2 linked regions of the Caenorhabditis elegans genome follow. The protein of the gene in region 1 interacts with the protein of each later gene in a biochemical or structural test. Each region holds a gene or a part of one and is shown in the gene's direction. Other genes may lie near its edges.

Region 1 (6,850 bases):
CGAAAAAAAAATTGTGATGCTTCATAGTTTCGAAAAAAAGGCCTCAGTCTAACCAAAATCTTCAAATGCGCCGAAAATTATGTTTTATTGAATAATGTGCCGTTATTGAATTTAGCTCATTTATTAGGCATTTATGAATAATTTTGGATTAGCATTTTCAGTGGAACCTGTCAATTATTAAAAAAAAAAACGTTGTTTAAGCTTTTCTAAATGTACCTTTCAGGGCACTTTTCATTTCGAGAATACTCAAGTTTTCAGTATATGAAAACTTATCGGTAATATTTATTTTCATGTAGTTAGTACATCCTACAGATAAATTTCAAATCCGTTTTCAGAAATTAAAAAAAAAAATTTCGAAAGAATTTTCCACATTATTACGTGGACCAATTTTCGCAAGAGTTTTTGACGTAAAATCGAGAAAATTGGTCCATAAAACTATTTTTAAATCTAAAATCACGTTTGTTTCATGTCTAAAATGGACTTCAAGCTTCTCTACAAAATGCGAAATTTTCAACAATACATATTCACATAGAGAACATAAAAAGAACACCAAGAGTTTCTTGACGTTTCTGGAATTTTTTGAATTAAAAATTCTTACACTTCGTATTGATATGATATTCCTTAAAGTTGTTGAACAGTTTATCCTCTCTTTTCAGGTAAAAAATCACCTCACTAGAACCTAGTTTTTGAAAAATGTAATCTCCCCAACTGCTAATTCAACTTCACTGGTTAATGCTCCCATATAGTCGATATAAAATTCCTCATTCTCCTCTTTTCTCTGTTTTCTCTATCGAATAGTTTCAACTATAAAGAGAGAAGAGAGTAACGCTCATTATTCAGCGAATAGAGCGCCGTCTCGGCTGGCAAGAGCTGCCTGCCAATTGGCATCTCCAATAAGTCCGAGTGTGTGTGTCCATTCCACGGCTACATACGCATCCAATTCTAAACATCAGCTGATCGTCTCCCCCGCTGCGTCTCTTCATTGCGCGTGCTCTTTATGAACTTTTCCGCCTGCGTGCGACTGGTCATGTGCACTTTTTGCATGCGGTCTCACATGATTTACCACGTATTCCTGGCTGCTGCCTGTCTTGACGTGCTTGTTGGTGAACCACCACCCTTTTACCACTTCTTCCACCCCTTCTCTTTTATCCACCCATCGATTCGTGTTCTCCGTATCTCGTTCTCTATTCACGGCGTTCCCCTCCTCGGCCTCCTTTTGGTAAATACGTGGTGGTCATATGACTAACAGCCGGGAAAAGAGAAAGAGCCCCCCCTGTGACTTTTCTGTTTTCCTATGCCTGATTCTCGCAAAAAAATTTCTTGTGTATCTTGAGAAGAATAATTAAGAAGTGAAGCCAGTTTTTTTTGGTTTGGCCATTCTAACTTTCTTGTCGATTTCGAATATTTTTTCAGCTTTTTCAAAAAAAAACCCACCTCAGTCTCAAAATTTTCGCAATAAGAAGTACTATTTGAAAAACTAATAAAGGTGGTATGCATTATCGTTTGTTTTTTGTCTATCCGCAAAAGCTCAATTCCAATCCTCAGAACAAAGTTTGTTTATCATTCATAAAACAAACATCAATCAAACACCTCCTTATCTATTTTTCTACCCATAGAACCATTTTTATGTCAAACTGTCTGCATCTTCTGTACCACGCATAATCTTATTTCAGTTCAATCAATCTACACCTGTGTTTCTTGAAAAACATGTTGGTCTACGTGCAACAAGTACGATCCACATGTGAACATCATATGATTGCATCACATTCGCCTGTTCAACCCTGTTATATTGGCGGATAGAGTAGATAGTAGATAATTGCGACCCAAATCTTCTTTAGTAATTTGCTATTCGTTTTATTTGTCTTAATTGTTGTGACCGGTGTCACTTGCAAGTTCGACTTTCGAAAAGTGGTGAGGTGTATCATGTGAACTTTTTGATTTTTCATGATGGGTGCCCGCCTGTCAACTCGGTTTTCGATTCAATCACATTTCCGTGCAAAATTCTGGCCAACATGACATTTAAGAAGTTCACAATCTGATCAGATTCTTATTTAATTAGTAAGACAAGTTTGTGGAAAGAAGTTTCTTAAGTTATTTCATATTAGTTTGTATGCATCAGTTTTGTTCTTCTACCTAGTTTTTCAATAATTATTTTCTCATCTACATTTTCCATTTCTTTTTTAGAAACAATATCTGGTTTGTTGGCAATACGGTCACATGTACTTCGGAAAAGCGAAAATGCGAGCGAAAAGTGAGACAGAGAGCGTCTGTGTTTGTTGGTGTATCACGCGACATAATAATATGCCTGGCTGGGTGCCAATTCTACCATTTTCCTCGAATTTCTGATTTCCTGAAATTCGCCGCAAGTTTATTGGCTTTTACTAGGATTGAGAACCTTCATTTCCCCCTTTTTTCAGTTGGTTCAAACTTTTCAGAATCTGATTTCGGAATAGTACATATTTTCCACGACTCTTTTATCTCAAAAATCAGCCACCTGACATCAATAACGTTGATTTTTTTCTTAAATATATTTCATAAATTTGCCCTGTTTCTTTTACTCTTCTCATTTCTCCACAGTAATGTTATTTTAATTGCCTTTCTTAATTTCAAATTTTTATGTCGCATCACGTGTTGCGAAAAACACCCGTCTCAAAACCACAGTTGATCACGCTGAAAGCAAGTTTGTGAGTAAAAGTAGTGAAAATGAGTAAAAAACACGCGTGAGCAGGCATCTCGTTTTCTGACTATCTAATTAGCTACACTCTTTTCCATTTAGTTCTAAAATTAGAAGAGAGAACCAATTTTTGTGAATTTCTTGAGAAAAAAAGATGGGTTGCAATATTTTTTAAAAAACATTCTCATAAATTCTTTAAAGAGAGCTATGAACCTATGCTTTATTTGAAAAATACTCAAGGGTTATCAAATAATAAAAGCCGAATACGACAAATGTTTATTAGTTCCAATCCATCAAATAAACCTTTTCCTATTTGGCAGTTGAATATATATTTGCTCACAAATATAATACATTTCTGGCTTTTGCTCTTTTTAATTCACAACTATTCTGTTCTCATATTAAATCGATTCAATCCGGTCATCTCATCTTTCTTGTCGTCCACCCACCACGAAAAACAAAACAATCGCGTCTCAAACATTCGCAGTACACCACACAGAGCGTCTCAGATAGCACAAATGTAAATAAGCAAATAAATAAATAACTGACTGGCTGACGGAATGAGGTTTCAAAATAAAGTAAAATTTAACGACTTTGTGAAAAGCAAAATATTTTCATTCGTCTCTCCAGTTTTTTTTCCGGGTATTTGCTCTGTAGAAAAGGTATTATGAAATTTTTTGTCTAACGGACCTCCTTCACTTTTGCCCCCAATTCTGTTTTATTGGAGAAAACGTTTATAAATAAACTACGCCATCTGCTTGTGTAGACTCTGAATTTGTTTGTTGATTTTGTAGAGTAGATATGAAGGACCTAGCAACACCTGCATCGTTGGGTTGCTATAACAACTCGTATTTATTGTTAACCCGTAACTACTTCGCTATTTCTTAATTTACAATTTTACAAGTTTCGATTTCTTCTCATATTTGTAAACACAATTGGTAATAATAGTATAATAGTAATGTTTCAGAGACGGGTCTTTCCTAACAATGTCCTCATTTCTTGAGTTTGCAAAACCCAAAATGCTCGATATCAAAAGAAAGATCAACTTTGCGTCCGGCGAGAAGACGGATGAGTCTGTGCAACCGCAACAGCAGACGGAGCAGTCATCGGCTCAACAGACAACACCATCCGCAAAAGCCGTCTCAAACCCATTTATCACCCCATTGACCGAGAGTACACCTGGTTTGTTTTACTTTTTTTTCATTACACTTTTGCCCTAGGCAAATCGTTAGATGAATTCTCATGTGACCGATTGGGCTTTTGATTTTTTGAAAGTACACACATCTTTGCAAGTTTACAAATTTAACACCTATTCACTTTTCACTAACTCCAACTTAAATTTCCCATGTTCTTGAACGCTTCAGGTATGTCAGAATCGTGGGTGGAACTGGCACCAAGCCGTACCAGTTTGTGCAGTAGCGTCGATATTAATATGGTGATCATTGATGAAAAAGATAAGGATTCGAGGCTGAGCCCAGTCTCAATCGCACAATCTCCTCACGTGGAATTCGAGAGCTTAGAACAAGTAAAGTACAAGTTGGTTAGAGAAATGCTTCCTCCCGGAAAGAATACTGATTGGATTTGGGATTGGAGCAGTCGGCCAGAAAATACACCTCCAAAGTAAGTTTTATAGCTACTAATGGGTTGAAAGAAGCTTAGTTATTTAGACTTCAAAATTAATTTAGAACCAGGGATGCGCTGCATTTGCTAACCAGCAGTTCTACAAAATAAGCCAGCATGGCATGTTCTCAAAATAATTCTAAAAAACGCAGATACATTGTTGAAAGATTAAAACTGCTAGAGAAAAGTTACATAGTTTGTCGGACTATTTTCAGTAATTTTCAACTTTCAATCTAAACTAAAATATGTTTGCTAATTGAAAATTTTCTAAAAGAGATTTTTTGAAAATACTTTTATATTCCATACCTAAATGTTACTGAAAATATTGGAAGAACATGTTGCAAGGTTCAATTTGTAGAATTGCTAGTCGACACCCCTGCTCAAACCATACCGATTTTATTCTGTGTTGAAAAAAAAAACAAAATTTGCAGGACTGTCCGTATGGTTCAATATGGCTCCAACCTTACCACTCCGCCAAACTCTCCCGAGCCAGAGCTCTACCAATACTTGCCATGCGAATCTGATTCGCTTTTCAACGTTCGCGTAGTCTTTGGTTTCTTAGTCACCAACATCTTCAGCTTTGTCGTTGGAGCAGCAGTAGGGTAAGTATTTTTTTCAGGAAATTTCTTCCAGAAAAACTGATTGTCTTCAGATTTGCTGTTTGCCGGAAACTAATCAAACATCATCGTCAATAATTCCAAACAAAAATTTTAACGTTCCACTTACCTCATTTCACTGTACATACATTCCAGCAGTGCTGGAGATTGGGCATTTTTACCCTTTGATTCACAATACTACATTCTCTGCAAAATTCTTCCGGAGTCTTCTTGCATCTTGTCAAAAAGATTCGAATAAACAATAATTTTGCCATGTTTCCCTTCTCTCCAAATTGTCATCTTTCAAACTGTCTCCTGAATATTCCTAATACTCAAAACATTCCTACTACAGTTTTGAATTCAACACATCTAATCGCGATTTGCTCTCACGATTAGGTAATTTTAAATTAATTATGTACATAATATAGCTTTATACACTGAATGTAATTACGACTTTTTCTTTGCTGTTACCTGGGCATTTTGATTCTGAAACTTGCTTTTCCATGTTTTTCTGTCATCACAAATTGTAAATATTTCTAAAATACTGTTACAAAACCACGCATTTTAATAAAATGTAAATATATTTTTGTTTAGTTATGATTAAATTTATTATGCTGGAATTTTTAAAAACTGATAAGTAGACAATTGCACAGATGTTATTAATTGCACAATTCAAGAAATGTCTACAACGAATCATTCTAAATACCAATTTGCACGGAAATAAATTAAGCTGAAATCTATGTTTAGTTAACTAAAAGCTCATAAATCGCTTATAATCCTTTGTTGAAGTACACTCGATCTCCCTTGATATTTTTCAGTTTTTCAAAGGCTTCGGGCTCCCATCTTTTCAATGTTGAAAGCTTCACAGAGTTTTGCTGAGGGAAGAGAGCGCATCCGACAGGAATCATTGCACCATAACTAAAATTCACATTTGTTGTCTAGAAATATGACTGCTCTCTCACATCACAAAAGTTAAAGCCAATTGAGTTGGAATGTTGAGTTTGTTGATATGCTTCCGGAATGAGGCCACTTTGTTCAAGCCTTCCATGATGACAGGAGTGAGGACTAAAATGAGGCATGAAGCATGACAGGAAAAGAGTAACGGCTAAACTCACTCATGCATGGGGCAACGATAATATTTCTGGAGAGAACCACCAGGGAGATGGCTTTAGCTGCGGCTAACCGGGAAACTCCAACGTTGTTTCCATCGGCATCAGTGACAGTCATACCTTCTTTGAGTTCACTTTAAAAAAATGATTTAAAGAACTTTTTGAAGAGTCAACATTTCCACTATTTAAATTCAACTCATAAAATTATACCCATATGCCAACAATAACGTGAAAAACCTCAATTTATAGGTCAACACATTTCCGAATTTTTTTTACGGTTTCTAGTTGAATACAAAAGTAGATGGTCTTCAGTTTACAAAATAAAAATACCATAATGGTTCAGCTGCAACATCATAGACAGCCTTATTTTAGAAAATCCAGTTTTTCATTGACCTCTCTTCATTATTAATAACTTATTGCATATAAGAAAAAAGTCAAAAGCGGAATGATTTTAGGAGTTTTACGTTTTGATTTTAATTTTGAATGGGTTTCAAAATAAATCACTGATAAGAAAGCAAACTTTAAATTTCTGTACTCCTAAATTTCAAAGCTTTCAGATTCAGGGCTACAAAGTTAACCTCGGATTAAAAACATTTAAAAACTTGGTTGAAACTAAAAAATACTGATTATTCTCTAATAAGTACTCACTTCTGACGCATCATAGGGATGTTAATAGCATTAGCCACTGCAACGGCTCCCAGTGGTACTAATCGTTGAGCCAAAGGACTGCTCTGTTTCTTAGCAAAATATGTTTTCAGCCCAATTGCCATTGCCAGTGCTCCAGACACTGCTGTAGAATACGATACAACTAAGTCTTTTGTTGTCAATGTGCTCTTTGCATTTCGATTGGTATA
Region 2 (8,064 bases), on another chromosome or scaffold:
CCAGTCCCCACCATCCATTTCCGTGCTTGCATCATCATCATCATAGTCGTCAATTTTTCAAGATTGTATCTGTCTCCCTCTCGTTTCCCCACAGCCGACTTAACAAACACCTCTTTTCCGCACTTTCCGCACCAAAAACATGTTTGCGTCTCTCCGTGTTTTCTACCGAGATAGCCACACGTCAAGTAAGCGCCAGTGATCTCTCAATTGATAATACTTTTTTAAAAGGTTTCTCAGTTAACTGAACAATTGTGAGGAAGATACAAATAGTTATGACGTGGCTTAAAAAGAGAAAAATGATGATGAAATAAATCATCACTATTCATTGCTATTCGTTAGAATGCAGGATATAAATCACGATTTTCGTTTTCGAACACAACTTTAAACTTCAATTTTTCCTTTGTTTCTCTGAAAACTTTGCAGTCATTTTCAAGCTTCCACAGAACTTTACAAAAAAACTAGATTTTCTCCAACGTGGCGATATTCCCGAGTTTCGAGAAGAATCCAGCTTGTCAATGCTGTATAAAACCTTTACTTTTCTATCGTTTCCATTATTTCTTTCACTGCACCTGTTACTGCCAGGTGCTTTATTTCCGCCTATCGTCTATTTTGTTTTCCTCCTACCAAATTTGACAACCCTCCGCAAACACTCATTCCTATTTTAGCCCGGTGAAATTTCGATATGGAGAAAAACAAAAACAAGTGTGAGCTTCCACTTCGGAATAATTTCCGGAGAATGAGAATTGTACAATTTTCTCCTATAAGACCATACAATAAAATTTTATCAGAAACATGAAGCTTTGGTCATTATCATTTTTTGTTACCCTTGAAATTTGATCACAAGGCTTTAATTTTTCATGAGACGTCAATTTTTTCTGATGATAAATAACATAGTTCAAAGTATTGCGTAATGTTTCAATTTTAACATGACACATAATAAATCAGAAACTCGAAAAACGTATTTAAATATAGATTTTGTCGGGAAGTTTAATGTGCAACTGTCTCGATATCTTTCTTTGAAAACATTTAATTTTTATTATATTTTCCAAACTGGATTCGAGAATTCTCGTATTCTTAAACAAATTTACAATGAAAATATAAATAATTAATTTAAAGGAACATGTTCTGCAATCCTCCCTGGGTCCCGCCACGAAACCGCCACGCACTACCATGAAAGGCGCGTTCGCATTCGTTCTGCCGCTCGTTTCTGTTTTCCAGATCTTTCCATCATTTTCTTCATTCATTCGCGCTCTCTCATTATCTTGAGTTGCCGGCTATTTTCGCTGCTCTCTGCTTTTTCGTATCGCTTTTTCACTCTTTCCAGCATTCAGAAAATTGCATTATTTCGGTTTTCATTTAAAAAACTCATAGCAAAGTATTTTGTTATTGATTTCGCAATACTTTCGAAAAGTATCGGAAAATTTTAATGTTTAGTCTGTGCGTTCCTCATTCCCTGTTCTCGTTGTACTCTTAACTGATGTTTTTAAATTTAGTTTTCCGGGGCTCTCTTGAAAAGACCCAATAGTCGTATTGAACCTTCGCCTGATCGCCACTAGCTCATCTTTTAGTCTTATGACGGGCTCACATGATTCTCCCCAGTGTCCTCCCGTTTTCTCACTGCACTTGTTTTGTCGTTCGTTCATCAGTACAAAGTACAAGCACTTTCGCGTCTGTCTGAAAATTGGTTCGGGTGCCGTTAGGACATTATTCATACTTTCCTGCTAGTCGCAGATTATAAAAAAATGTCCTTGACCGTCTGCTCTTTCTTATGTTCTCCCTATATATGCGTCAAACGAACAACTGACCCTGTTCACTTTTCCTATTCTTCGTTTCATCATTTTCTGTAACAAAAATGGAAACAATACTTTACACAGACGTCACTATTATTCAGGCCTATGATTTCTCTATCGTTTAGTTAAAGATGAAAAGAAACTGGTCGACCCAGTTGCATGACGAGAAAAAAGAACACCCCGTTCGATTTTCGTTGTATTCCCTCTGCACACATTGTCCCCTTCTTCCTCATCATTTCTTTCCCTACACAGCACTCTAGAATGTTCTTCTTGTGCAGAAAGAGTGCCGTTTGAGTCAGCGACCCCCCCCCCCCCCCTCCTTTCTCTTGCTCTTCCTCACTGGTTCTCGTAATAGGCGACTTCTTGCTAACAGAAAGTGAGCATAGCAACATTTTTTACTTTGTGGCCTTCAATAATACGTGCGTCGTTTAATTAGAATGTTTGAGTAAAGTTCAACGTGTAGATTCAATATTCACGTTTTGGGCGCTCTTTAATTTATTACTGTCAAGAATCAGTTTACCAAACGGTGAGTTTCTTTTTTTTTGTCTAATTGTAAGATTTAGCGGGGTAAAACCAACAGAAATGTCATGCTTTTTTGAATAATCTCAATCAGTTGTTATATGAATTATTTTCCCATTTTAGCAATACTGCTTGGTAGTTATTTTCGGTCAGAGAAACGAGGACATCAGCTGAACATCTGCGTCTCTAACAACACTCGGGGAAGGCGGAGTCAGTGTGCGCGTGCGTTGGGGGTTTTATCGATCGTTGAGGCGGGCATACAGCAGTCATACACCCCATTCGACCAGAACGCTCCGCTCGCGTGCCACCTTGTCTCCATTCTCATTTCACTTGTCTCTACTCGGACATTACTCCTCATCGATTAGCTCTTTACTACCATTTTACTTTTATGCCTTTCTTTTTTCGTTTGACTTGCCTATGACGAGTGGGGATGAAGTTTGCTTTGTTAGTCTTACTAGTGTATCGATTTTTTGGGTAATATTTCGCAACTTTCTAGGACTTTCTTTCATAATCACCTCTTCTCTCGCCTCCTCATTCCAGTTTTATTCGCACTCATTTTCTATTTTTTCAGCAATCATGCAAATCTTCGTCAAAACGTTGACTGGAAAAACTATCACCCTGGAGGTGGAGGCTTCCGATACCATCGAAAATGTCAAAGCCAAGATCCAAGACAAGGAAGGAATTCCACCAGATCAGCAGCGTCTCATCTTCGCCGGAAAGCAGCTCGAGGACGGCCGCACCCTGTCTGACTACAACATCCAGAAGGAATCTACTCTTCACTTGGTTCTTCGTCTTAGAGGAGGAATGCAGATCTTTGTCAAGACTTTGACTGGAAAGACCATCACACTTGAAGTTGAAGCTTCCGACACGATCGAGAACGTCAAGGCCAAGATTCAAGACAAGGAGGGAATCCCACCAGATCAGCAGCGTCTTATCTTTGCTGGTATGTTACATATAACAAATTTTGTTCATGAGAGACTAATTTTTTTCCAGGAAAGCAATTGGAAGATGGACGCACACTCTCTGATTACAATATTCAGAAAGAGTCTACTCTCCACTTGGTGCTCCGCCTCAGAGGAGGTATGCAGATCTTCGTCAAGACATTGACTGGAAAGACCATCACACTTGAAGTCGAAGCTTCCGACACGATCGAAAATGTCAAGGCTAAGATTCAAGATAAAGAAGGAATCCCACCAGATCAGCAAAGACTTATCTTCGCCGGAAAGCAGCTCGAGGACGGCCGCACCCTTTCGGACTACAACATCCAGAAGGAATCAACTCTTCATTTGGTTCTCCGTTTGAGAGGAGGTATGCAGATCTTCGTCAAGACATTGACCGGAAAGACCATCACCCTCGAAGTCGAAGCCTCCGACACCATCGAAAATGTCAAGGCCAAGATCCAAGACAAGGAAGGAATTCCACCAGATCAGCAGAGACTTATTTTTGCTGGTACGTTGGCAAAATATCTAATATTTGACCTAAAATTTATTATATATTTTCAGGAAAGCAACTCGAGGATGGCCGTACCCTTTCGGACTACAATATCCAGAAGGAATCAACCCTCCATTTGGTGCTCCGCCTAAGAGGAGGAATGCAGATCTTCGTCAAGACTTTGACCGGAAAGACTATTACTCTTGAGGTTGAAGCTTCTGACACTATTGAGAACGTGAAGGCCAAGATCCAAGACAAGGAAGGTATCCCACCAGATCAACAGCGTTTGATCTTTGCCGGAAAGCAACTCGAGGATGGCCGTACTCTCTCCGATTACAACATCCAAAAGGAGTCTACTCTTCATTTGGTTCTCCGTCTCCGAGGAGGAATGCAAATCTTCGTCAAGACTCTTATCGGAAAGACCATCACCCTCGAAGTCGAAGCCTCCGATACCATCGAGAACGTGAAGGCCAAGATTCAGGACAAGGAAGGAATTCCTCCAGATCAGCAACGTCTCATCTTCGCTGGAAAGCAGCTCGAAGACGGCCGCACCCTTTCGGACTACAACATCCAGAAGGAATCAACTCTTCATTTGGTTCTCCGTTTGAGAGGAGGTATGCAAATCTTCGTGAAGACTTTGACTGGAAAGACTATCACCCTCGAAGTCGAAGCCTCTGATACCATCGAAAATGTGAAGGCCAAGATCCAAGACAAGGAAGGAATCCCACCAGATCAGCAGCGTCTTATCTTTGCCGGTACGTTATATAGATATACATAACTCAAATCAACTATTATTATTTCAGGAAAGCAATTGGAAGATGGGCGCACGCTCTCTGATTACAACATTCAGAAGGAATCTACTCTTCACTTGGTTCTCCGTCTCCGAGGAGGAATGCAGATCTTCGTCAAGACTCTTACAGGAAAGACCATCACGCTCGAGGTGGAAGCTTCTGACACTATTGAGAACGTGAAGGCCAAGATCCAAGACAAAGAAGGTATCCCACCAGATCAGCAACGCTTGATCTTCGCCGGAAAGCAACTCGAGGATGGCCGTACCCTTTCGGACTACAATATCCAGAAGGAATCAACCCTCCATTTGGTGCTCCGTCTCAGAGGAGGTATGCAGATCTTCGTCAAGACATTGACTGGAAAGACCATCACACTTGAAGTCGAAGCCTCTGATACCATCGAGAATGTGAAGGCCAAGATTCAAGACAAGGAAGGAATCCCACCAGATCAGCAGAGACTCATCTTCGCCGGAAAACAACTCGAAGACGGTCGTACCCTCTCCGACTACAACATCCAAAAGGAGTCTACTCTTCATTTGGTTCTCCGTCTGAGAGGAGGTATGCAGATCTTCGTCAAGACATTGACCGGAAAGACCATCACCCTCGAAGTCGAAGCCTCCGACACCATCGAAAATGTCAAGGCCAAGATCCAAGACAAGGAAGGAATTCCACCAGATCAGCAGAGACTTATTTTCGCTGGTGAGTTCATATTGTTTTTAGAATTAAAACTAATTTTTATTGTTTTTCAGGAAAGCAACTCGAGGATGGCCGTACCCTTTCGGACTACAATATCCAGAAGGAGTCTACTCTTCATTTGGTGCTCCGTCTCAGAGGAGGTATGCAGATCTTCGTCAAGACTTTGACTGGAAAAACCATCACTCTCGAGGTCGAAGCTTCGGACACCATTGAGAATGTCAAAGCCAAAATCCAGGATAAGGAGGGAATCCCACCAGATCAGCAACGTTTGATCTTTGCTGGAAAGCAGCTCGAGGATGGACGCACTCTATCCGATTACAACATCCAAAAGGAGTCGACACTTCATCTCGTTCTTCGTCTTCGCGGAGGAGACATTTAAATCGAACCCATCAATTCACTCGTTATTCCTCCTCGATCTCCGTTCAAGTAACAATTATTTATTCTTTATTCCTTCGGGAATTTCTGTATTTTAATGAACGAGCTCTGAATAAATTCATTTTCGTGTACTCAAACGATTTATCTTTAACAATAACAAACAACAAAGATAACTACTCTATGAAGTGTAAGGTTCAACTATATTTATAGATCAGATGCTGGATTGTCCTATGAGTTGCGCTTTCAATGTCTGCGAATTGGCGTCGGTGATCAGAATCTTTGCATATTGACCAGGTTCCAAACAGAGTTTCGAATTGTCGAACACTGCTTTCACACCACCATCGATCCTTCCATGTGAAAATGATGCATCCCTTTTTGACTTCTAAAAATATTATTTTAATTCATTTTATTGGTGTTTATAGATGACTCACTCCTTCCAACAAAACCGTCTGTTCCGACCCGATAAGCGCTTGGTTCAATTTCAATGCTTCTTCCCGAAATACAGTAGTCAAATCTAAATGTCTTCTTGCTTTTACATCTTCTGGAACATCGTCTGTTAACCGATGATGTGCTCGCGTTTTCTGAAAATAATCTGATAGGAACAATTTTCAGCAACTGACTCACTCCACGCATACTGTAGGGGAAAACGAAGCAGAATGAATAACGAACGGCTCGAATGAGGGAAAGTGTGTTCTGATGAGCTTGTTCAGTTTCTCCACAGAATCCGGCAATGAAGTCACTTGTCAGAGAGACGCCTGATAAAATAATTAAGTTTTGTTTGAAGAGTGATTCATACTCACTTGGTAAAACATGTCTAATATCATCAACTAATCTCAAATACAGATCTCTTGTGTATCCTCTTTCCATCCGTTCCAATGTCTCATCATCTCCACTTTGTGCTGGAAGATGAAGTTGTTTGCAGAGATTTGGACGGGATGCAATAAGCTCGATCAACTGAAGGTTATCATGATTATCAATTAAAGCTTCATAAAAGTTACCTGCATCGGGAAATCCTTTGGATGCGGGGAAGTGAACCGAAATCGGATATCTGGAGCTGCATCAGCGACTTTTTCAAGCAATGTTGTAAAGGTCAGGCCCCCACTTTTTGGTTTATAAACAGTCTTAAAACCGGGAACTCTGTCCTCTTGTGATGTCGATGGAGCCATTGAGAAATCCATCGATGTCATATCTCTATAGCTATTCACATTTTGTCCAAGTAGTGTGACCTGTTTGTATCCCTGATCTCGAAGCCTCTGAACTTCTTCTACAATTGATTCAATAGGCCGACTTCGTTCTCTTCCTCTTGTGAATGGAACCACGCAGTATGTGCACATATTGTCACAGCCTCGCATGATCGAACTGAAGTTTTAAAATGTTTTTTTAAAATTGAAATTTTTAAATCGACAAACATGAAAGCCGTCTTGGAAGCACTATCGACTCGAATCGGTTGCACATCTGCATACGTTTCATCGAGAGAAAGTTGCACATTAATTCCATTTGAACCACCTGCAGCAACTGCGACAAGGCGAGGAAGATCTCGGTACGAGTCTGGACCTGTAAAATTTGAGGTGTTTATTCATGAATTTTACGCATTTTTTAACGCACCTGCGACAATATTAACCAAATTCCGCTTCTCTAGCAAGTCGTGTCGTACTCGTTCTGCCATGCAACCTGGAAATCATTTTTTTACCTCTAATATTTAATTTTGTTTGTTGGAAAATTGAAAAATATCAATTTCAAAATTAATTATATTCTATTTTCACGAATTTCCGATACCCGTTAGATTTGCTTAAATAGATTTTTCAGACGACTCGCCAATTTTGCACTAAAACTACGGTACCCGGTCTCGACACGACAAATTTTTGTTAAATGTGAGAAGGTAACAATTTATAGAGGAAGTTTTTTAGAATGAAGTATTTTTGATTTAATAACAAAAAAAAAAAAACTAACCCAGTACACCAACAATCTGTCCTTTATTCACCGAGTTCGATCTGATCAGTTTTAACTGATTCCATACTTTTTTCTCGGCTCCATCCCGAATAGAGCACGTCATCAGAAGCACAATATCAGCATTTTCCTTTTTATCACTTTCTACGAATCCATACTTTGTCATGATAGATCGAACGATTTCCATGTCACTAACATTCATCTGACATCCATATGTCACGTAGCACACAGTTCTTCCATTTCCTTGTAAATCTTCTGGATTCAGATATTCTTTTGTATCCTCGATTGACGGAATGATTGCTTTCTGGCGTTGTTTTTTAGTGGATTCTTTTATGAAATCTGATAGTTGAAGTCCGTCTGTAGGAATTGCTCTTTTCGGTTTTACAGCGGCGGAAGTACTGCACCCAGAATGAGCCCTATAGACAGTTGAGCAGGATCCAACACTGCGGAGCCACCACTGGCGGAGCATTTCCCTGTAATTTTTAGTTTCAAGAACTTCAATAAAAGTTTGATAAAAA

What was found. The genes of interacting proteins can lie anywhere in the genome.
Region 2: of the proteins of dct-1 (region 1) and ubq-1, one has a biochemical effect on the other in vitro, tested with the Caenorhabditis elegans proteins (one study listed by BioGRID).

What each region holds. Positions count from the first base shown.
Region 1 is NC_003284.9:7,950,718-7,957,567, forward strand, and holds dct-1 (NIP3 homolog), read left to right. Parts: upstream 1-3,638; 5' UTR 3,639-3,657; coding exon 3,658-3,853; intron 3,854-4,035; coding exon 4,036-4,291; intron 4,292-4,722; coding exon 4,723-4,893; intron 4,894-4,943; coding exon 4,944-4,986; 3' UTR 4,987-5,469; downstream 5,470-6,850. Other genes in the region: sfxn-2 (Sidoreflexin), read right to left, coding at 5,658-5,805, 5,850-5,952, 6,003-6,130, 6,645-6,850. UniProt on the Caenorhabditis elegans protein: Initiates apoptosis in a BH3-independent mechanism possibly by recruiting ced-3 to mitochondria and other cytoplasmic membranes. Has a role in lifespan and tumor growth. Required for the induction of mitophagy under stress conditions.
Region 2 is NC_003281.10:5,938,106-5,946,169, forward strand, and holds ubq-1 (Ubiquitin-related), read left to right. Parts: upstream 1-2,880; 5' UTR 2,881-2,885; coding exon 2,886-3,252; intron 3,253-3,302; coding exon 3,303-3,758; intron 3,759-3,811; coding exon 3,812-4,495; intron 4,496-4,543; coding exon 4,544-5,227; intron 5,228-5,277; coding exon 5,278-5,603; 3' UTR 5,604-5,722; downstream 5,723-8,064. Other genes in the region: F25B5.5 (CDK5RAP1-like protein), read right to left, coding at 5,811-5,981, 6,031-6,180, 6,224-6,354, 6,400-6,553, 6,598-6,958, 7,009-7,153, 7,205-7,270, 7,550-8,015. UniProt on the Caenorhabditis elegans protein: Ubiquitin exists either covalently attached to another protein, or free (unanchored).